4 linked regions of the Drosophila melanogaster genome follow. The protein of the gene in region 3 purifies or fractionates together with the protein of the main gene of each other region. This does not show direct contact. Each region holds a gene or a part of one and is shown on either strand. Other genes may lie near its edges. The genes, in order: FipoQ, SPE, Idh3b and CG31344.

Region 1 (5,593 bases), 7.5 Mb from region 3:
TCGACCACAGCACCCACCTTCGATCCTATATCGTCATAGGCACAGACATTACGTATGTATAACTCACGCAGCTATGCTTAACTAAATTATATACCATGCATATAATAGCTGAACGCTGATCGGCAATGAGACGATAATTCAAACGGAGATGATCTACATATGTACGTTAAGTTTATGGTAAAAAGTCGATTCAAAAATGTTGAAACATACACACACAAAAAAAAAATTAAATTAGCATTAAGTTTGCAATGGATGAAAGCAGTGTAAAAATCATCAGCAAAACGCTAAAACGCAAAAACGATAAACATTTTATGTGGTGAAGTCTGAAAATGATTTAATCAAGTTACCAAGTAAATCTAGTTAAAAACAAAACACGAATCAACGCGGATTGAAATGATTAAAAAAAAAAAAAAAATGATTTAAAAACGAGAGCAAGGCGAAAAGTTGCGTTGTATAATTTTGTAATGTAAAAATAACTTGTATAAGCAAATCCTTGTTTTGTTTTTATTTAAATTACCTATGTACGTTTATTTAGATTTAAAGTAATTAAACGAAAGAAGCGGAAAATACAGAAAACATTAAAACACTCTTATTGTAAGCGAAAACACACAGAAACATTGCTTCTCCTCCGGCCCTGTTGTGGGTAAATCCCATCCAGAGCTCTGCAACCGGGTAAGTGCAAGCTACCAATCCTCTCTTGGCTTTCAGCTCTGAACCTCAGAGGCTCAGTTGAAAATCAAATCGTTGTAGTTGCGGAGCAGGTGATAGGGAGACACACGGCAGCAGGTGGTGGTGCGCACCACGGTGATGCGATCGGCACGCTCAAAGTTGGCCTTGACCGTCTCATAGTAGCGACCATCGCTGGAAGCGAAATATTGATGTTAATCCCGCATAGAAATAGGAGTCTGATGTAGACCCACCTGAGCACCATGCAGCGCAGCTTGAGGCACTTGACGCGCAGAATATCGATGGCCTTCTGGCTCTTGTCGGAGAAGCGCAGGTTGTCCGGATCCCAGCGCAGCTCCAGCCGCTCCAAGTTGCCGCAATTCGAGGCGATGGTGTCCATCAGCTGGTCCACGTGGATGTTGACGCCCAGCTTCTCTGCGGTGCCCATAACAATGATCCTGCAGGTTAAGAAAGTTCAGCTCATAATAAAATGTCTTTTCATTCGATGACCAATAGTGTCGCCTACTTGCAGTTGCCCAGCAGGGGCAGGATGCTCATCCACAGCTGGTCGGTGATGTGGGGCATGCCCGAGAGACAGCAGGCGCTCAGCTGATGACCCTGGCGCTGTATAAACTTAAGCAGGCCCTCATCCGAGATGTTGTCCGAGGAGTCCAAGTCCAGGGAAATGAGCGACCTAAATCATACTGCTATCGGAGTGCTTACACAGACGGGTAGGTACTGTCTCCGCTCACCTGGTGGTGCCCGATTCCATCCACTGCTTGAGAACGCTGTCGTTGAAGCCATTGATCTGGCCGGCTGAGAGGAACTTGAGGCTGGGGATCCTGCTCAGCATGTCCACGAGGCATTCGGTCGAAAGATCGGTGGCCGTGATGTCCAGCTCCTGCAGGGCGCACTTGTCCCACTCGGCCTGCATGACGAACTCCGACTTCAGGCTGGTGCCGTTCATGAGCAGGCAGGTGAGGCGCTTGGAACGCTGGATCAGGGTCTTCAGGGTGGAGCCGGTCACTTTGTTGCAGAAGTTGACGGCCAGGCACTCCAGCTGGATGCAGTTCGAGCTGAAGGCGTCGATGTGCGAGTCATCGATGAAGTTGATGCCGTACAGGTTGATCACACGCAAATTGGGCGTGGCCGACTTGAGCTTGTGCACGTTGATCACCTCGTAGATCTCCTCCTCCTCCTCCTCGCACTTCTCGTACGTGCCAATTAGATGCAGCACCTCCAGGCCGTTGATGAAGTTGTAGATTTTGCGCATGAAGCCCTCCATGAAGATCACCTCCGAGAGGCAGACGCACATGTAGCGCAGCTTGGTGGGAAAGGCCTGCATCTCGCTGAAGTCGTGCAGCTGCATGGCTAAGAAGTACACAGGACACTCTAGAGTTTAAGACGGACGATCGGCGACGTGGCGCACCCACCTGTGGAGAAGTCCAGCAGCATGTGGGTCAAATTGGGGCACTTGGCGGACAGTTCGTGGAGCACCGTGTGCGTGATCAGCTCGATGGGCAGCTCGATGTAGCGCAGAGTCGGTCCGAATCTCACCGAGATCAGCTGCAGCAGCATCTCCAGCGAGCCCACGTGCAGTCCGGAGACCTCCGGTCGCAGGCTCACGTTCTTCCACAGCCGCGTGTCGTATGCAATCTGCCGCCATCGTCGGCAAATCCTGGCCAGGCGGCAGATCTCGCGGTGCGACAGATACGAGAAGATGTGCAGCAGCACCTTGTCCGGCAGCTTCTCAATGGTCTGTGGATGAGAGTCACGATATATAGTGGTATATCCTATGGTACTACATAAGTGATTCAAATATGATCTCTAAATGTAAATCTAAACGACAGTTCGGAATAGTTGAGTGCGAATGTGGTGCTATATATTCTACGGGTGAGTGAATCTATAGATACTCTCTCTTACGCCACAGACTGGCTCTCCCAAATGAGTGGGATCCCTAAGTAATATCCCAAACCCATCGTACCGTATCGGCGAAGGGACTGCGAACTGTGCCGTCGGAGAGGTAGACCTGCGATGCCTCCACGGCCAGCTGACCCCAGATATCGGTGGATATATCCATGGCTGGGTGTGGATGATTCGGAACCACTTGCTTATATAAAAAAAAAATATAGCTACACACGGGGCAAACTACGCGTGCTCTGCCTGCGAGGCGAGAATATCCGTCGTATCGAGCTACTTTCGCGCTACTGCGAGCCGCATTCCCATCGACGTGCCATCGGAATCTCCAAAGATCCGCCAGGCAGTAGTAGACTCAAGAGAACCCTAGGCTTATTTATAGACCAGCGCCAGTAACGAGAGCACTGCCACATCGCATCACTCAATCACTCTACTTTCGGATGCATCAGCTGTGCTGTTCACGGGCGACGCACCACACCACTCACGCACTCTTTAAGAACAAATAGAACCACTAGAACCACCAGCACCACTCACCCAGCGGTGCACGTGGAGAAACATGCTGATAAAATCCCTGCCAAATCTCTTCCTTTCCTCGTCAGATTCAAAATCATTAGTAAGCTGTATAAAAGTATCTCGAGATATTTTACTATATTTTACTTATATCTAAAAGTATCTGATATTGCTGATAGTATCTACCTTTTGTAGGTTCGGATAACCTATGGATTCATCTTAAGATATTTCTACTTCTTAGATACTTTAAGATGCATCTGAAAATGCTTCTGTTTCCCGAGGAATAACCTTCTGAGCTTTATCCTTTAGCGCCTACTTTAAGATACATTTCCGCACAGCCTGCTTTTGCATATATATATTTAATAGTAATAATAGATTTCGAACCCCTTTTACTTTCTCAGTGCACAATGTTTGTTGCCAAGAATTCTATATATACGCCATCGTTCGTCTGTCTGGCTTTGTTTTGTTTACTACATCTAATATGTATATCTATCTGCACATGTGTATGTTCTATGTACAGGGTACTCACCAGTCGGGTCTTCACCACGCCAGAGTCGTGGAGTCCGATGGCCTGCGAGGAGGTTTGCGCTGCCAAAACATTCCAATTATCCATGGTGGGCACTGCGCTCTAGTTCGCGATTTGGATTGGGATCAGCCGGAAAGCTGAAGGTGTTCGCTGTCTCAGCTGTACAATATGTATGTATGTATGGTCTTGCTGGATCCGTCCGCTTCTATCTATGTATCTATGTATCTATGTATCTAACTAAGGGAGGAGATGTGCCGGCTATACTCGCATGAGATACATTCATTCATGAGCTAAACTATTTCTGCAAGGCTTTCCCAATTAGTCACACTGAATTCTGAGCATTTCAAACTAATTGTTATTTAGAAATTATTAGTTTACAAGCAGCTAAGCTAATTAAATTACCACATTTTGAAGCAAATTAATAGGAAATCTATATTCAGTAGTCTATTAGTTCTGGAAAGTATAAGTATATTAAGTAAGCAAGCGAAAGCAGTTAGTTAAAACTTCGTTTTTACTATGTTATTTACCCATTTGATTAGTTGATCAAACGAAATTGTTAGACACTTTCCGCAAATAAACGAGTGCGAGAAGGAAAGCTTTTAATTAATTAATTAATTGATGCCCGCAGGCGATTAAAATAGCAAATTCACAATTATGCAAACTCAGTGAACACACACACATTGTTCACTTGCGACTTTTGATTTTCGACGAGGATGGGCGTCACATCTGAATTTGTTTCATCCTTCGCCCGGTTTATTAATAGTTTTCCCTCAGCTGGTGGATCTGGTGGAAAAAACTGTTGGGGTTGCAAGTGCAACGTGGAAAGTGCAGTTTCGTAACTTTAGCACTTTCGTTGCAAGTTGAAAAAAAAAACTAGGGAAATTCACTTGGCAAATTCACTTATTCTGTTGCAAATTACTGGCAAATCGGATTGATAAATTCCGGCGAAAATCGACGGATTCTGCGGCTTTACATGGGCGAATGCTCCGCGTTCTCGACGGCTCCACAACTCTGAGAAAACTGAGAAAATCAGGCGTCCGCGGAAAATGGTTTATGCCAAAATTCACTCGGCTAGTTGATCGTACTACATGCGGAGTACATGGCTACATGGGCATCTGGGGATCTGTGGATCTGTGGATATGGAGGGGTTATTCGGGGCGATCTCTGCGAGTGCAGGCGTCATTTGCTTTTCCCATGGCGAGCGGCCAACAGAGGGGCGGTTGCCCAGGGGGCGTGGTCGATCGTTGGGAAACAGATATTACAAATGCTAGAAACTACAAAAAATCACTTCTTATGATTTGAGCACTGGATTTTATTCAAAAATTAGCCCATATCATCTCAGATTTTGATGATAGTTGTTTTTTTTTTAGTATAATAGTTTTAGTTAATAGCGTAATTAATGGAATTCAAGATTAAAAATAAGAATAGTTCCTAGTAATCAGATTGAACTGTTTACATTTGATTAGAAAGTGGGAACCTTATCAATTTCATGCATATATAAAATAAAATACACATAATTAATTAGTAATTTCTGGATGCAATTAAAGCTTCTCTTTATTGTTTATGTGATGCAAGGGGTTAAAATGGCAGCCTGGTGACTTTGATGATCTGGATTCCGTACTGCTGGTTCCTCCTCACAAATTCCTGTGACCAATCGCCGCTCAGACAGCCGCCGTCGCAGTTGCAGCCGAAGATGTTGCACGATCCCTGGCCGCAGTAGGCGCCCAACTGGGCAACACCATCGGCGCAGATCGTCACTTCGCAGCCGTTGGGATAGTTTTCGATTGCACGCACAGCCTCGCAGTCGCCTCTGTCCATCTTGAATTCCACCAGCTCCCGGGAGGTGCAGCATTCCGACCGAGCCACATGGACAAAGGCCAGGGCGCAGATCCCGACGAGAAGCAGGCTGACTACTGGGGATGCCATGATTGGATTTACTGGGAGAACTAATGCTTTTCACCCCGGCAAACAGCG
Region 2 (5,227 bases), 1.7 Mb from region 3:
TCCTTGCAGAGGATGTGTGCTGTGAATAGGTCACGTTCGACCCCATGAATTATAAAAATTATCATATCCATCGATCCGTTTTATTATAAATCATATTCAAAAATAATAATAATAATAATATTTCCACATAGACTCGTACTGCTATACTTTATCGGGGCTTTCACTTATCTATTTTTGTAATTTATAGTTCGGTTATCAAGCTGCCAAAAGGATGAGAAATGCACCAGACTGGTTAGCTGCTCGCCGCTTATGAACATCCTTAGGCCCCGGGGCATGACCCAGGCGGAGAAAGATGTGTTTGCACACAGGCAGTGTGGCCTGGACCCCAATGGACACGAGTTGTTGCACATGGTTTATGTCTGCTGCCCAGAGTTGGGTGACGTCTTGCCCAACAAACAGACCTGTGGACAAACGACGCCCGTGTTCCGAGATCGGGGTGCCGAGAATGCAGAGCTTAATGAGTACCCTTGGATGGTATTGCTGTTATATGAGAATCGGCTATCCTTGATGTGGAATCAACGAACTGGTTGTGCGGGCTCACTGATCAACAGTCGCTGTTCACACATGAACACGAATATATTTAAAGACTTACAATTTTGGGCTCCGTTCATATCTTATGTAAATGAATCGAGAGCGATAAATTATATTTAGGATTTTGTTATCTAAGGCGACATGGGTGCATTGCTCAAAAACATGTAATTTAAGTGCACACTACATGAGTCAGTCACTTGAGATCTTTCCCCGCCTCCTAAAATAGTCCCTTAGTGGGAGACCACAGATAAGGTCCTCGCCGCTCAAGATAGGCAGATGTGCCCGAGCGTGGGACCTCGATAAGGCGGGGACTATTTACTTAGGCCTCTGCGTAGGCCATTTACTTTAAGATGCGATTCTCATGTCACCTATTTAAACCGAAGATATTTCCAAATAAAATTAGTTTCTTACAAAAACTCAACGAGTAAAGTCTTCTCATTTGGGATTTTACAGTCGCTATGTGCTGACCGCTGCCCACTGCGTGATCGGTGGTTACTTGACGCAGAATGACCTGGTTCTGAAGAGTGTGCGCCTGGGCGAGTCCACTACCGACTGCATCACCTCGGAAAGCAGGTGTCCACATTTGGATGTGGAGGTGGGGCAAACAACAGTACATCAGGGTTTCACTTCGAGTGGCGGAACTTACCGCAACGACATCGCCCTCCTCCGATTGCAATTCCCAGTGCGGTGAGTAGCAGTGATCTCCACCCTAATCTCCACATCTTATGGAAATTTCTTTACAAACCCGCTAGATACACGAAAAAGATCCAACCCATTTGTCTATTGGACGCCGAATTTCCCCTACAGGATTTGAATTTGCAAATCTCTGGCTGGGATCCGACTAAAAGCAGTCAAACGTTGATCACCAGCACGGTCAAGGAAAGGAATCCTGCTGATTGCTTGAATAGGTATCCCAGCTTTCGCTCCGCGTCCCAAGTATGCGCCGGTGGTCAACGGAAAGGGGACACCTGTGCGGGCATCTCCGGCAGTCCGGTAATGGGCATCATGGGAAGCGGCGTCGACGAGTTCGTCTTTTTGGCAGGCATTGCCTCATATGGACAACAATATTGCTACTCTGCTGGTATTCCAGGTGTTTACACAAAAATTGGCCACTTTTCGGAGTGGATCAAAGCGAATTTGGCTCCCTAATTTTAATAAAGAATTCATATTTGCAAAATTGGAATAGCATCTGTTCCATTAATCCACTACTATAAAGTAATAGACCTATAAAACCCCAAAAGATAAGAAAAAGCACTGAAGATTGTTTTTTAAAAAACGTGTTGTTCAAAAAACATAACGTGCCGAGAGAAGATTAAGCATAAATAAATTTCTAATAACTACACCGCTGGGTTTGCCCAGCTCAGCAGAACTACTATGTAAATATTAAGGCAGGGAAAGACCACCCTATTCACATAGCTTTTGCCTTTGTTGCAATCTAGATGGTATTGAGTCCGGAGATAACCTCTGCTAATCACGCCCAATGCATCGGGAGAGAATCGGTGACAGCGAAACTGCCGGACAGCTTGGTTAGTATCAGCTTGGAGCCCATAGCGACGAGATGGCTTCTACGGAACGGAATTTTCTGCTACTGTCACTGGTGGTCAGCGCATTATCCGGCTTGGTCCATCGATCAGGTGGGTAAGCTGTCCTTTGGGCAAACAATATCCACAGCAACTGGATGCAATGGTGCTTCTTTCAAAAGTATATAGTTCTATATATATAGTATAGTATAGTATATAGTTTGAATAAAGCTAGAAAAACTAAGCACTTGACCTTGTTGATTGTGAGAATAAAAACCATAACAACTAATAATCAAAGAGTTTTTGAAAACTTCAAATATATTAAATATCAACATATAGTTTCCCGGACTAAGAAATTTTATGAGAAATATTAGACATGAAGTCCATTAGTAGAATGGATTGCCTTTAATGGATTGGTTCAGAACCGGTTAGACTGCATCGTAAATCGCGCTCTTCTCTTCCAGACGCAGCGGAGATCAGCTTTGGCAGTTGTACGCCCCAGCAGAGCGATGAGCGCGGCCAGTGCGTTCACATCACCAGCTGCCCCTACCTGGCCAACCTGCTGATGGTGGAGCCAAAGACTCCCGCCCAGCGAATCCTTCTCTCCAAGAGCCAGTGTGGCCTGGACAACAGGGTTGAGGGCTTGGTGAATCGAATCCTGGTCTGCTGTCCGCAGAGCATGCGGGGCAATATCATGGACTCGGAACCAACTCCTTCGACGAGGGATGCACTGCAGCAGGGGGATGTGCTGCCTGGAAATGACGTCTGCGGCTTCCTTTTCGCTGATCGCATTTTCGGGGGCACCAATACGACCCTCTGGGAATTCCCATGGATGGTATTGCTGCAGTACAAAAAACGTGAGTAGATTACCTACCCAGGCTCTATTTTAATCTCTTATAGGAAGGTTGTTTCACGAGGTCACCTGTAATCATTTTTTAATCACTTTTTCAAATCAAATTCTCCAATGGGGGGATCATCATTATAAGAAAACGCATATTCAATATATACAAGGCTATTATTAGTATCTAATCAATTTATAATATGTACTTGGGAAACGCTCTTTATCCTTTCAGTTTTTTCTGAAACCTACACTTTCAACTGCGGCGGTGCATTGCTCAACTCGCGCTACGTCCTGACCGCTGGACACTGCCTGGCCAGCCGAGAACTGGACAAATCCGGTGCCGTTCTACACAGCGTTCGCCTGGGGGAGTGGGACACTCGTACCGATCCTGACTGCACCACCCAGATGAACGGACAGCGCATCTGTGCACCGAAACACATCGACATTGAGGTCGAGAAGGGCATCATCCACGAGATGTATGCTCCCAATTCCGTTGATCAGCGTAATGACATTGCGTTGGTGCGCCTTAAGAGGATTGTTAGGTATGTGGTCCAGAGATCCCTCAATTATTCCACTGACTTGCTTTTTTGTTTTTGCCACAGCTACACCGACTACGTGCGTCCAATATGCCTTCCCACGGATGGTTTAGTCCAAAACAACTTTGTGGACTACGGCATGGATGTGGCCGGCTGGGGACTTACCGAGAACATGCAGCCAAGTGCGATCAAGCTGAAGATCACCGTCAACGTTTGGAACCTAACGAGTTGTCAGGAAAAGTACTCCAGCTTCAAGGTGAAACTGGACGATTCTCAGATGTGTGCCGGCGGCCAGTTGGGCGTGGATACATGCGGTGGCGATTCCGGCGGTCCCCTTATGGTGCCTATATCCACGGGCGGCCGGGATGTCTTCTACATTGCCGGCGTCACCTCCTACGGGACGAAGCCCTGCGGCCTCAAGGGATGGCCCGGCGTCTATACCCGCACGGGGGCTTTCATCGATTGGATAAAGCAGAAATTGGAGCCATGATGAATACATACTTAAATACATGATAACCATGTGAAAAGCGCGATGTAGATATTGGGGTTTAATCAATTCACATGAGATCGGCACTGTCAAGTTTTGCGAGCACAACCGGTTGTAATAATATCGAACCACTTTTCTGTCAATCTGTGATCAGCAAAGTCTGGTAGTAGCTTGCCCACGTAATTTCCCATATTCTAATGGAAAAGTAGAGGAAAATCTCTGGAACTCATTTATCTCTGTTGCAATAGCCATCTCACTTGTCAATCTAGACGGCAGATGTGCCGGAGAGCTTGGTCAGTATCGGATTGGGTTCTGGGGTATCGAGATGGCTTCCATGGAATGGAATTTTCTACTATTGCTAATGGTCATCTGCGCATTTTCCGAGTGGGTCCAACATTCAGATGGGATGCCATAAACGACAACGATTTCACCTGGATCCGCTTAAAATTTTGAAATATATCCACACACGAGGTGGAGAAGGGCATTGTACATGACCAATAGTTGCCTAATTCCGTAGACCAGCAGAATGACATTGCTTTGGTTTTGAAAAGGAGTGGCATTGAAAAGGAGTGGCGGGTGTGTGGGATGTGTGAGTATTCCATAACTTCTTCATCATTGTTATTCATTCACCAGCTACACCGACTACGTGCGCCCCATTTGCCTGCCCACGGGCGATCTGATCCAGATCCAATTGTGCGCCGGCGGCATGTACGGCTATGGATACCTGCGATGGCGATTCTGGCGGTCCCTTGATGGTGTCCATATCCACAGGCAGCCGGGACGTATTCTACATCGCTGGCATTACTTCCTACGGCACGAAGCAGTGCGGCCTCGGTGGATAACCCGGTGTATATACCCTCAGGGGGGCTTTCATCGATTGGATAAAGCAGAAATTGGAGGCATAATAAATAAAATTGCTAGTTTATTCACATTTCTCGCATTGGCTAGCTTACAATATTACGTACATGGTGCTGATTGGACGTGGGATGGACTAACTAAGCTAGGTTCTAGTGGAATGCCTACAAATATTCGCGTAGGCCAGCGTTCACAATATTCGCAACAAAACATTAAATTTTATTTGTTAGCTGGCCTGATAACAACATAAAGTAAAACTCGCTGACATTACATGAGGCGGATTCCTTTAACAATTTATGCTTAGTTGCGCGCTATATATAATTCAGCTTTGTTTGTTGTTTTTTAAACTAATAACCAATAATCGTAGAAAATTTTGTTTAACTAAAAGGCTGTCTGCCAGCAATACGAGCGGATAGAAATTCGAGATTCGAGATAGGGGCTATAAAACGCTGACACT
Region 3 (6,107 bases):
GCAGCTGGCTAAGCACGAGAAGTACATCGAAAAGTTGGCGAAACCAAAGAAAGCACCAAAGGTCCCGAAACCGGTAAGTTAAAAAAAAAACTAAATTCAGCTAAAAACTGATGATAATCCCCCATTTCATTTAGGATCGTGGAGCTGGGGAGTTCGATCCCGTGCGTCTCAATCAGCTGGCCAGTCCCAAGGCCTATTTGGAGGAGATCAAACCCAAGTGGGAGCTGACCTCCCAGATGAAGGACTACAAGGCGACCAAGCGGATCAAGCAAATATCGCAGCCCGTCGTGCGCGATAATGTCCACATCAACGAGAATCCGGAGAAGGTCTCGCCCAATGCCCTTCGCTACAAGCGTAAGTACACATACTCCAATTTAGTTGATCTTTTAATAATGCAGCACCTGGCATTGCTTCACTTAGCGAGTGCCCGCATCAAGGAGATGTCCGAGCCACTTACCACGCGCGATGCCAACCAAGGACTGGCGGATGTCAAGGAGAATCCATTCGGTATCGCGCCAAACGCGCTCAAATACAAGGCGAGCACGCGGATCAAGGAGCTGGCGGAGCCCAAGGAGTTCGAGAACACGCATATCCGGGAGAATCCGTTTGCCATATCGCCGGCGGCTCTGAAGGCCAAAGCCTCGCCACGCCTCATCGAGTTGGCCAAGCCCAAGGGTGGATAATAATTGGAGACGGACGTGGACTGTGCGTCTGGATAATCATTACCGTCCTTATTGGTGTTCTAAGTTTTTCATTTCGGCTACATTTGGTATCGACTTTTCTAATAAATTTGTTTTTGGTTTTTTAAAAAACAACTAGAGCTTTTCCGGCTCTTTACGGGATTGGATTTCCTGTGAAAGTGGCGCCGGAGTTGGGAATAGCGATGAAATCTCCTTTGGCCTTTCATTCCAGTCAAAAAAAAGTTTGAGAAATATGTTTGGGTTTTTTTTTTTATCTTTTGTTTGTATTACTTAAAATTTAGACAGCTCGGAACTGACAATGGCTTTTAAATAATAATTAATTTAGATTTGAGTTTATTGTTATCTTTCTCACAGCTCCAGTGGAGTGGGTCCACTCAAAGCCATCCGTTATCAGTTAATTGGTTTAGCAATATCATTTGTTTTCGGTTTTTTTTTTTGTTTTGCTTTTCAACGGGTTAAACATAAAATATAATTCGACCGTAAATTAGCATCTTTGCGAAATCAAAAAGGGGGGGGGGGGGAAATAATACGTAAATAATTACAACATAATCAAGGATCGATGTATTACTGCCAATTGGTAAAACTAAAGAATTCGCAACTTTTGGATTCGGGGCGGGTCTGCAGGCGTTTCAATTGGACTAAACTTAAATATTCGCCGGAAATAATACTCAAATGAATGCACTGAAGACATCGGGACAAATAAAAAAAATTGGACGTAATAGGATAACTAAGAACTTTCAAGGTGTTTCTTTCAACAATTCAAAATTTAGCTGTGGCAACAACAGAAACTGTCTAATGTCGATTATATAAGCGCCAACGTTGTTGCCCATGATGTTGTAGACTTGCTGATCGCGATGCCGGCGATGACAGTGGTGCCCATCTAGGACATGTTCAGGATGATGGCGCGGGTAAAGTCCTGCGTGGTCGATTGTCCGCCCAGATCCTTAGTACGCACCTTGCCATCGTTCAGCACCTTGTTGATGGCATTCTGGATGATCTCGCCGTAGGTGGGCAGGTTGATGTGGCGCAACAGCTTCACGCCGCAGAGCAGCATGGCAGTGGGATTAGCCACGTTCTTGCCCACGGCCTCGGCGAAGGTGTGACGTGCACCCTGCAATCGGAAATCGGTATTAGAGATAAGAATAGTCTGAAGTGGATTCGCACAGCTAGGCTCGAGAACCGTGTAAATCACGATCTTATGGATTATCTTTATGTCTTTATGGCGAATCTTACCGGCTCAAAGACGACGGATTCCGAGGAGTAGGAGGCACCAGCAACGACACCAGCACCGCCCACGAGACCACTGGCCAGATTGTCCACAATGGCACCATAGAGATTGGGGGTGACCATCACGTCGAACTGGTTGGGATTGGAAACCATCTGCATGGTCGTGTTGTCCACGATCATCTTCTCAAACTGGATGCGCGGATAGAGCCGGGAAACCTCTTCGCAGGAGCGTAGGAAGAGACCGTCGCCCAACTTCATGATATTCGCCTTGTGCACGGCGGTGACCTTCTTGCGCTGATTCTTCGTCGCATAGTCGAAGGCGAACTTGGCAATGCGCATGGACTTTTTGGCGGTGATAATCTTCAGGCACTCCACAATGCCGGGCACCGACTCGTGCTCCAACGCCGAATACTCGCCCTCCGTCTGCTCGCGAATAATCACCGTGTCGATGTTGGTGTGGCGGGTCTTGACACCGGGCAAGCTGCGCACATGCACCACATTGGCGTAGAGGTCCAGGTCGTTGCGAAGCTTCATGTTAAGGGTCTGCAGGTCACCCACATTGCTGTAGTCGGGTGTGGCCAAAACGCCCTGAAGGAGCACATTGTTTAGATTTTATCACACTATTTTATTTTCTTGCAAACTTACCTTAATGCACACTTTGTTTTTCTGAATGGATGCCACCACATCCTCCAGTTTGGCACTAAGCACGGGATTGATTTCGGAAAGGAAGTAGCACTCGAAGTCCACGGGAACGCTGGCTGCCTGAACGACAAGATAAGATAATTATGCATATTGATTGGGCTTGAAAAGTTAAAGAATTTACATAGCATTTTTTAATTTAGTCGCACGTATGAACATGTATGTTCAGTTAAAACGGAAATCCCGAAATCTACTAAAATTTTCAAGTAGCAGCCACTTATCACATATCTTTACGATACAGATAAGTTTGATGTTTTGATTTATATAATAAAAACACTCGTGATCGGGAAAAATGGAAGTGTTATCAAATACAATGCGCTCTGTGAAGAGTGAAATATATTAATTAATTTTTAGAGCCCTGTGCTTTTTAAATCTAATAGATTCTAGAAATATGTACATAACTAACTAAACGCCGACTTGCTTAAAAAAAGCTTTTCTATTAAATAGGAAACCAAGCTGGCAATGATCCTAAGCTTAAATAACCTTTTTTTTAAGAGAGATCAAGAGACGCAAGAGTATAGATTTATAAGAATTAGGACGCATTGGAATACTGTATGTGAATGATTGCAACTTGATGGATGGTTAGCTACCTTGAAGACCTCCTGGAGGGAGTAGACCAGCTCGGGACCCACACCGTCGCCGGGAATCAGTGTGCAGGTGGTCCTGTTGGCGCCGTAGTTATCCTGCAAGACCAATTATTTTCCGGTTACAACTGGTGCCACTTAATAAGCGCATTTAACACTCACCGTAGCCCGTAGCGTCGACGTGGTGTGCAGACTACGTGCTGCCGCAGCCTAAAACGAGAAGAATGCAATGTAATCGTTAAGGCTGGCTAGGATTATAACCTCAAAAAAAAAAAAAAGAAACGTATAAGAACTAGGCCTCAGCGCAGAAATATTCGCACAGCGCGTCGCGAGCAAGTGTTTATGTAAGAGCTGCGGTTTGGATGGCCGTTTACCTGCATGAACGTCCGTCCAACTGTTCTCGCCAGCATCGACATTTTGCTATTCGGTTAGCTAGATCTTCCCGGCTGTTGATCCAAACTCAAAAGTGTGTCCTTTGGCCACGCGAAATTTTTGATTGCGATGTGATTTTTGCTCCGGTGCCAAACCGAAAAATTTCAATAGGACCAAATCGACCACGCAAACCAGCTGATTGCCTCTGACTACCAGGGCTGGCGATAGCCGCCCACGAAACTGGCGCGTCCAGTGCTGGCTAACGACCAACTATCGCGATTTTGGCGTTCGAAAATTAGTAACGAACATATACGATTATTTAAGGAATAAATTTGGCGGCAACCGCATAGTAACCTGTTTTTGAATACATTTGCCTTGCCTACCATGCTTTCTTTTCAGAACAGAGAAATTAAATTTAGCCAATGCATTTTATTTGAATTTTGACATTCAGCATACTTTTTAGTCAACTTATTTATTATATTAATTTTTTTCGCTAAATTAAACAACAAGTGGATGTTCTTTATGTTTATTTATGGCCTAATCACATTGTTCTTCAGAAACACAAAGCTTGCCAATTTCAGCTTTAGTAATATATCATATTCCATTCATGCCTTGGTATCGAATTTTTTACAAATCTTCCCAGAGTATTTATGTTTTGGATTTTATAATGATGGTTTCTATGTTTAATTTGTATAATTGAAGCTAAACAAAATGTTACAAATATATGTATATAAGTGCTATTTCGTTTCAACTGTGATCGCTAATTGGACAAATTACATATTGTTGGTAATCGTACCATCTTCTCCTGGACTAATAACAAATAGTAAGTGTATCATCTTGTTTCTGAAGGAAGGGGACACGGGACGTAGTCTACAAATACAATAGTCCGCTGGCAGCGGCGTGAGCCATCAAGGTGTTGGCCGCCTGCTGAGTCTCCAGCATGAGGCGAGCCTCCTTCATCCACTCGCCGGCAATCTTGCGCGATGCACCCTGCAGCAGATTCATGTACTTGAGCGCCTGCAGAAAGTCGCTGCGATCCACATGGTACCTGTGAAACATAATATATATAATATATATTATATAACTCTAGTGATAGATGAATCAATCGCCTCACCTGGCCCTGTTTAGGATATCGTAGGTGTCCAGTTTGCTATAGTCGAAGGGTTTGTTCTCGAGTTCGTCCTTGGATATGGGATTATCGGGTCGCAAGATGAACAGCGATTGCAGATAGGACAGGAAGTAGATGGGCAGGCCGGCTCCTTCCTCGGGCACCAAAGCCAATCGTCGCGCCACGCGCTCCACATTCAGGAAACGCTCGCGCAATGCATCTTCTGGATAGACACCGCGCTCCTGAGCCTCCTTCGGGACGCTTTCCAGCACAGCGGCCACCAGGTCGTCACCCTCTGTAAGCATATGCATTTAGCAACTGAAATCGAAATGTGGGAAACGTTTCAACTTACTAGCCACCTTGGCAATGGCATTGATCTCGTTCTTTAACGGGCGCAACCTATCCTTATAGTGCACGCCAGGAGTGGCAGCGCGCACGGAGGCCCACAGAGCTTGGCAGGCGGCCCAAAGGGCCTGCGCCTGATTGGCAGTACGCTCTGCATCCGCACGCTCTGCAAAAATGTTGCATATAATGTCAATAAACATTTTGATTAAACCAAGAATAAGTTGGTATAAGTACTACCCTTCATATAGGGTGAATATACCTTGAAACTCATCCTCTATCTCTAATATAGCAGCATGTTTTGAAAAGGTTTGAAAACCATTATATATCTAGCCACGCTACACTAGCTACATTCAACCGATATCGTTTAAAACGTATAACTTACCTGCCAGAGCCGCGTCCATTCCGCGCAGCTTGCCGAGCATCCCGGCCAATTGTAACTTATAGTTGGCCTTTTCGGTCGCCAGCTTATCCTCAAGTTCACGCTTAAAGCTTCGCGTCAGATCGGTCTCCCGCTGCGCCACGATGTCCTTTATATGATCGGCGTGGGCCTCTGCTTGCTTTTTGAGCTGCAAGCGCAGCAGCTTATCAGACTCGGCGTGGATGTGGAAGATTTTCTTTTGATTTTCCACGGCCAGTTTGCGCCGCTCGGCCTCCAAATGGTATTCCAGTTGGGCGCGCAAAGCCTCCGAATCGTTGTCACCGCGAACCGAGTCAATAGCTCTCTTCAGGCGCAGCTCACCATCGGTTTGCAAGCGCTGCAGCTCCTTCTGGTAGGCCAGGACATGGGTGTAGGCGTGCAGGATGAACAAGTCTAGGTCCTCCTTTGACAGATTAAGTTTCTTATCCGCCAAACTGAGGCCGGGGAAGATAGACTCGATCTCGTCAATGAAGTAGTTTCGCGCCTTCTCCACATTCCGCCAGTACTTGTCTGACACGCTGGCCGTGTCCTTGTGCCGGTAAAGCTCGTCCTTTACGTTGCCAATGTGGTCCACAAGCTTCTTGATCTTGTCGCGCACTGCCTCTACTTTCTTTGCGTTTTGGGCCGTTGCCGCAGCACTCAGGGCGATCTCG
Region 4 (5,293 bases), 6.8 Mb from region 3:
GAGTCGCAACCGCTCAAGGACGGAGTAAGGGACATGCTGGTGAAGCACCATCTCTTCTCATGGGATCTGTGAGGCTTGCTGCCGCCTTGTAAGGAGCTCCACAATCGTTGGCAATCAACTGCGTATCCAATATCTCATTGCCCCCTTCTCTGTTCTTTCATTTCTAAGTGCAATCGCAATTCTTTGAATCGAAGCTATCGCTTTTTTAAGTACTTCTTTGTTGTCGTACACCTAACTTAAGTGCTTTACCATAACGATCTGTAGCTGTAACTATACCTTTAAAACGCCCTATGTATAGCTCGAGCCGTTTGTTTACTTAATGTCCATCCATTATTATAAATCCTAGACCACACCAATCTACTAAATTACAAATGTAACGTACCTTTAATTGAAATCAAATCTTATAAAGTACAGACATATTTATTACTATATACACATAGATGTTTAACTGTCTAAATGCATTTCATTAAAGTTTAATATATATATATATATAAATTGTACGCAAAACGATTGAATTTAGTTGGACACCAATCCCAAGTAGTCGTCCATCAAAGTGCCAATTGCAAACTAGAAATATTAGAGTATTAACTTGCGAAAAGTACTTATATTTATGGAGCGTCTTACAATTCCAGTGGCATCTACTCGTGTGCCCACAATCTTCAGCCGAATCTTATCCTCTCCGGAGATAACCACATCCTCATCTTTACTCTTATAGCAGGGCGGATTCCCATTCGGGCAGAACTGCATGTCGGCGGGAATAGACTAAAAAAGAATCGCCCGTTAAAAAGTGTTACCTTAGATCCCTCAGACTTAACATACATGATGCGAAATGAAGCAGGACAGCGGGCCGATCTCTGCAAACATGCCCACTTTGTTGATCTGCTTGACCACTGCGTCCAGAACTTCGCCCTTAAATGGCCGAAAGACGATAGCTTTGTACTTGACCGGATACACCACAAATCCCTGGCCCGGCTGGATGACACCCGATCCGATTTGATCTATCGTCGTCACCGCTATCACGAATCCGTACTTTCCCGTGCAGGTGCCCTCCACTTCGGAGTAGAGTTTCTGCTTCACGGTCTCCAGCAGTTGCGGGCCAAAGTAACGTGGATGAAGCAGAATCTCTTGCTCCAGCGATATCTACGGCGCAAGGGGTTGGCATTTATTTTTGCTCTATTCGGAGAATGAAATACTCACGTGGTAAAACATTGTTAATTAAATTTAAGGTAAAAAACTAAAGTAAACAGCCGGAACCCAAAAGATGCTGCCGCAAGTGTGACCAGATTCGGAAATGTAAAAAAAACAGAAGCGCGTAATTTACCGCCAATAATTATAACGATCTGTTTAGAAAGAAAAATAAAATAATTAATTAATTAAATACGATAATTTATGGAGGTGTTCGATTTTCAAGTCATTCAACATTTCTTATATGATCAACATGAACTACAGCCCGTTCATTAAATATGGTTAAAATATAAACTCAACATTCCTTTTACAACAATTACTTTGCATATTTATTGATAATTTACCTACTGAAACACAACACTATCTAATCGTCCTTCAAGCCCAGGGCAAAGTCTTGGGCTTCCCCGCCATTCCTGAAAATCCGCACATACGCGGACTTCGGGCCAAACTTCCAAATGGCGACGTAGGGCAAGTAATAGGTGAATATGTCCACCAGCCAGACGCGGAAGTTCAAGTACCATCGCACCAGGGCATACCTGTGCAGATATGTGACGAGGAACAGGCCGTAGCTGACTATGAATCGGTCCCACCATCCCATGTCGTAGTAGTGCAGCTTCTGCTGGGGATCCTGCGCCACTCCGTTCTCATGATCGAAACTGTAGTACTCGTATCCCTTAACGCAGGCCAATCGCTTGGCAAAGAATATGTTGGCATTCACCGACAGCATGGTGTTTATGTGCCACAAGCCATTAATCAGGGCCTCGGTCATTCGTTTGAAATCCTCCCCAGTGTTTGCCAGAGCTGGTTCGTATACCTTACGCATCACAATGTCCAGGCGGAGCTTTGACTCCGCCCAGTTCCTACCGCAGATGTTGTACTCATCCTTGATGCCCAGCAGATAGCCGAGAACGCGCCACATATGCGTAGTGGCCTCCAGGAAGTCCTGATCTTTCAGCTTTATGCGATGTGCGCCCATCGTTATGAAGCCAATGAAACCGAACTGCGTGAGCGCCAAATCCTTCTGGGTGATCTGTCCAGCTCCTTGGCGGGCGCACGCATGACTGGAGCGGCTGTGGGCCCGCCTCACGGCCGCAATGCTGGTCCAGAACCTGCTGCCACGGTCCGCGATGTTGTGGTTATACCAGGCTTGCGTGTGGAATATAGTACGCACATAGCGACGGTAGGCGGTGAACGCTGTCGAGGATTGGCGTGTGCACGACAGCACCCGGAGAATGGATGGAATAGCCAGCACGGCAATAAGACCAGCCAGCATTCCGGCGTTCATTACAAAGCGATACGTGCTAAAGTAGCTCTGACCACTGCAAGGAAAAGGAATAAAGAATCAATTAAGTAATTCGAATGCAGTTATATTATTTAAATTAAAATATACATATACATACATGTACATATACATATATATTGTTAAAAGTAAATGTATGTCGCCTTTTGTTATTAATATGTAAGCCCGTAGGTACAAAATTGGAATAATGAGCACAGATAAAGATAAGTATTATATGCTGCCTTTTCGCATTATTATTCACATAGCAAACTGCTACATAACTCCAAGCTTATAAATAACCCATGTGTATATGGATATTGTAATTATCACAATTATTTCTACTGTGGTTACTGGGCTAATATGCAATCAGTGAACAATTAGTCACGCAACTTACCGCCTGAATAGCTGCTCATCGTACCACGAAGGTAGCTCCAAATCAGCACCGCTGTCGCCCTCCTGACTGCCCTCCTTCATTAGGTGCTCCAAGTAGTCCTCGGGCTCCTGGTGATCCTGAAGCAGTTTTGAAGCCCCCGCTGCATTATGACCATCTTTGGAATGCGATGACGACTGCATTTTCCCACTGATCCCTGGAAAGTGACGTGCGATGTAGAAAACGAGCTTGAGGTCCAAATTCGGATTACACAAGTGAAAGAAAGAAAAGACAAACAAAATCGTCGGCGCGCCAAGAGAGAAAGTTTTTCATTCAACCCGCCAACAAGTCCACTGTGCACTTACACGTTTCACGCTTCGCGGGATGGGGGATCTCGGATGAGCTGCTGGTACAACCATCAACCTGCATGTCGGCCAAATTATTGCTTGTTAAACTATTTAGCAAACTCAATAGTTCAGCTCGTTACGTGCAAAAACATTTTGCATACACAATTGGAAAAAAAGCGTTGAGGATGAATCACGGCTGCCCACCGTCGTTGCGGTTGGGGAACTTAACTGCAACTGGCACGTTAGGCTCGTCAAATAAGAATGGAAAGCCGGTCATTGGCGCGTAAACTGGTTTCGAATCATTCGCACTGATAACGAATTAAGTAGTAAACTTTGTTTATGCACTTTAGTGTGCCCGCAACTGCAACCGTTAAAATATACCTTTTAAAACCCCAAATATATCGATGTAAACCACAAAATACTAAAATCATGACGCAGGAACGTAACAAGTATAAAAATACCGCGCAGTGTCATCTCCATAACTCTGTTATCGTTATCGTAATCGAATATGGCAGTCGTCTCGACAATCTTTAGCATTGCATCTCTATCATCGACGACGCGCTTGCAAAAAAACGAAGGAAATTAGCCAATTTCTATTTTGCCCTGACGTTACGCCGTTTAAAGTGTAAGTTCCCGGCCAGGATTCGACTCAATCCCTGCCACAACGACTTTCGGTCAAGTGTTCGTTGCGAGAGCTTTAACTACGTAGCGAACTTTCGTAGTTTTTCTGCACACGTTTTGCCGCTTCGGCTTTTGTTTTGGCGCCCGATTTTTTCGGCTGCCGACTTTTGACGCAGACTGAGAAATTGCGTGCCTAAAAGCCTCGAAATGGTGGATCGCAGCGATAATGGTAAGTCCGGTTAGAAGTTAATCGCCGCAATGTGTAACCATCGACCTTTAGCAGCGGAATCCTTCGACGACGCCGTCGAGGAGCGCGTGATCAATGAGGAGTATAAGATTTGGAAAAAGAACACGCCGTTCCTGTACGATCTGGTCATGACGCATGCCCTGGAATGGCCCTCGTTGACTGCCCAGTGGCTGCCGGACGTGACCAAGCAGGATGGCAAGGACTACTCGGTACATCGTCTTATACTGGGCACACACACATCTGACGAGCAGAACCATCTACTCATCGCCAGCGTTCAGTTGCCCAGCGAGGATGCCCAGTTCGATGGTTCGCACTACGATAACGAGAAGGGCGAGTTTGGAGGCTTTGGATCGGTGTGCGGCAAAATCGAAATCGAGATTAAGATCAACCACGAGGGCGAAGTGAACAGGGCCCGCTACATGCCCCAGAACGCCTGTGTAATCGCCACCAAGACGCCGTCGAGTGATGTCCTGGTCTTCGACTACACGAAGCATCCCAGCAAGCCGGAACCGTCTGGCGAGTGCCAGCCTGACCTGCGGCTGCGCGGTCATCAAAAGGAAGGCTACGGACTCTCTTGGAATCCCAACCTCAATGGTAAGTGCGTAGCTGTACCTAGTACTTATATATTAGCTCAGATAAGAGCTTGACACATCTAAAATGCATTACGTTTTAACCCTTAATGAACATCTTGATTGTCCTTACAGGCTATTTGCTGTCAGCCTCTGATGATCACACCATCTGCTTGTGGGACATCAATGCCACACCCAAGGAGCATAGGGTTATTGATGCCAAGAACATCTTCACCGGCCACACCGCCGTTGTTGAGGACGTGGCTTGGCATCTGCTACATGAGTCTCTGTTCGGATCGGTGGCTGACGACCAGAAGCTGATGATCTGGGACACGCGCAACAACAACACCTCGAAGCCCTCGCATACAGTGGACGCTCACACAGCGGAAGTCAATTGCTTGAGCTTTAATCCCTACTCGGAGTTCATTCTGGCCACGGGCTCCGCTGACAAGACTGTAGCTCTATGGGATCTGCGCAACCTCAAGCTAAAACTACATTCCTTCGAGTCGCACAAGGACGAGATCTTCCAAGTGCAGTGGTCGCCGCATAACGAGACTATTCTCGCCTCCTCCGGCACTGACCGCCGCCTACACGTCTGGGATTTGTCCAAAATCGGCGAGGAGCAGAGTACGGAGGATGCTGAGGACGGACCACCCGAGCTGCTCTTCATCCATG

What was found.
Region 1: the proteins of Idh3b (region 3) and FipoQ purify together in Drosophila melanogaster (affinity purification with mass spectrometry, with the first as the bait; one large-scale study listed by BioGRID). This does not show direct contact.
Region 2: the proteins of Idh3b (region 3) and SPE purify together in Drosophila melanogaster (affinity purification with mass spectrometry, with the first as the bait; one large-scale study listed by BioGRID). This does not show direct contact.
Region 4: the proteins of Idh3b (region 3) and CG31344 purify together in Drosophila melanogaster (affinity purification with mass spectrometry, with the first as the bait; one large-scale study listed by BioGRID). This does not show direct contact.

What each region holds. Positions count from the first base shown.
Region 1 is NT_033777.3:29,493,831-29,499,423, reverse strand, and holds FipoQ (F-box involved in polyQ pathogenesis), read right to left. Parts: upstream 2,884-5,593; 5' UTR 2,747-2,883; coding exon 2,651-2,746; intron 2,425-2,650; coding exon 2,100-2,424; intron 2,038-2,099; coding exon 1,419-2,037; intron 1,361-1,418; coding exon 1,193-1,360; intron 1,125-1,192; coding exon 921-1,124; intron 862-920; coding exon 726-861; 3' UTR 501-725; downstream 1-500. Other genes in the region: diedel, read right to left, coding at 5,198-5,545.
Region 2 is NT_033777.3:23,684,197-23,689,423, forward strand, and holds SPE (Spatzle-Processing enzyme), read left to right. Parts: upstream 1-2,058; 5' UTR 2,059-2,089; coding exon 2,090-2,165; exon of another isoform or gene 2,166-2,341; intron 2,342-2,515; coding exon 2,516-2,908; intron 2,909-3,124; coding exon 3,125-3,434; intron 3,435-3,494; coding exon 3,495-3,918; 3' UTR 3,919-3,951; downstream 3,952-5,227. Other genes in the region: CG18754 (uncharacterized protein), read left to right, coding at 188-509, 985-1,218, 1,284-1,680.
Region 3 is NT_033777.3:22,015,407-22,021,513, forward strand, and holds Idh3b (isocitrate dehydrogenase 3b), read right to left. Parts: upstream 3,779-6,107; 5' UTR 3,628-3,778; coding exon 3,586-3,627; intron 3,422-3,585; coding exon 3,374-3,421; intron 3,311-3,373; coding exon 3,218-3,310; intron 2,691-3,217; coding exon 2,574-2,690; intron 2,517-2,573; coding exon 1,935-2,516; intron 1,813-1,934; coding exon 1,582-1,812; 3' UTR 985-1,581; downstream 1-984. Other genes in the region: Theg (testicular haploid expressed gene), read left to right, coding at 1-73, 135-354, 421-683; mitofilin, read right to left, coding at 4,454-4,631, 4,698-4,986, 5,044-5,202, 5,296-5,316, 5,419-6,107.
Region 4 is NT_033777.3:15,221,884-15,227,176, forward strand, and holds CG31344 (uncharacterized protein), read right to left. Parts: upstream 3,447-5,293; 5' UTR 3,264-3,446; coding exon 3,200-3,263; intron 3,052-3,199; coding exon 2,859-3,051; intron 2,505-2,858; coding exon 1,550-2,504; 3' UTR 1,495-1,549; downstream 1-1,494. Other genes in the region: CG12241 (uncharacterized protein), read left to right, coding at 1-72; Polr2G (RNA polymerase II subunit G), read right to left, coding at 517-567, 625-762, 820-1,140, 1,198-1,209; Caf1-55 (chromatin assembly factor 1, p55 subunit), read left to right, coding at 4,010-4,031, 4,083-4,643, 4,754-5,293.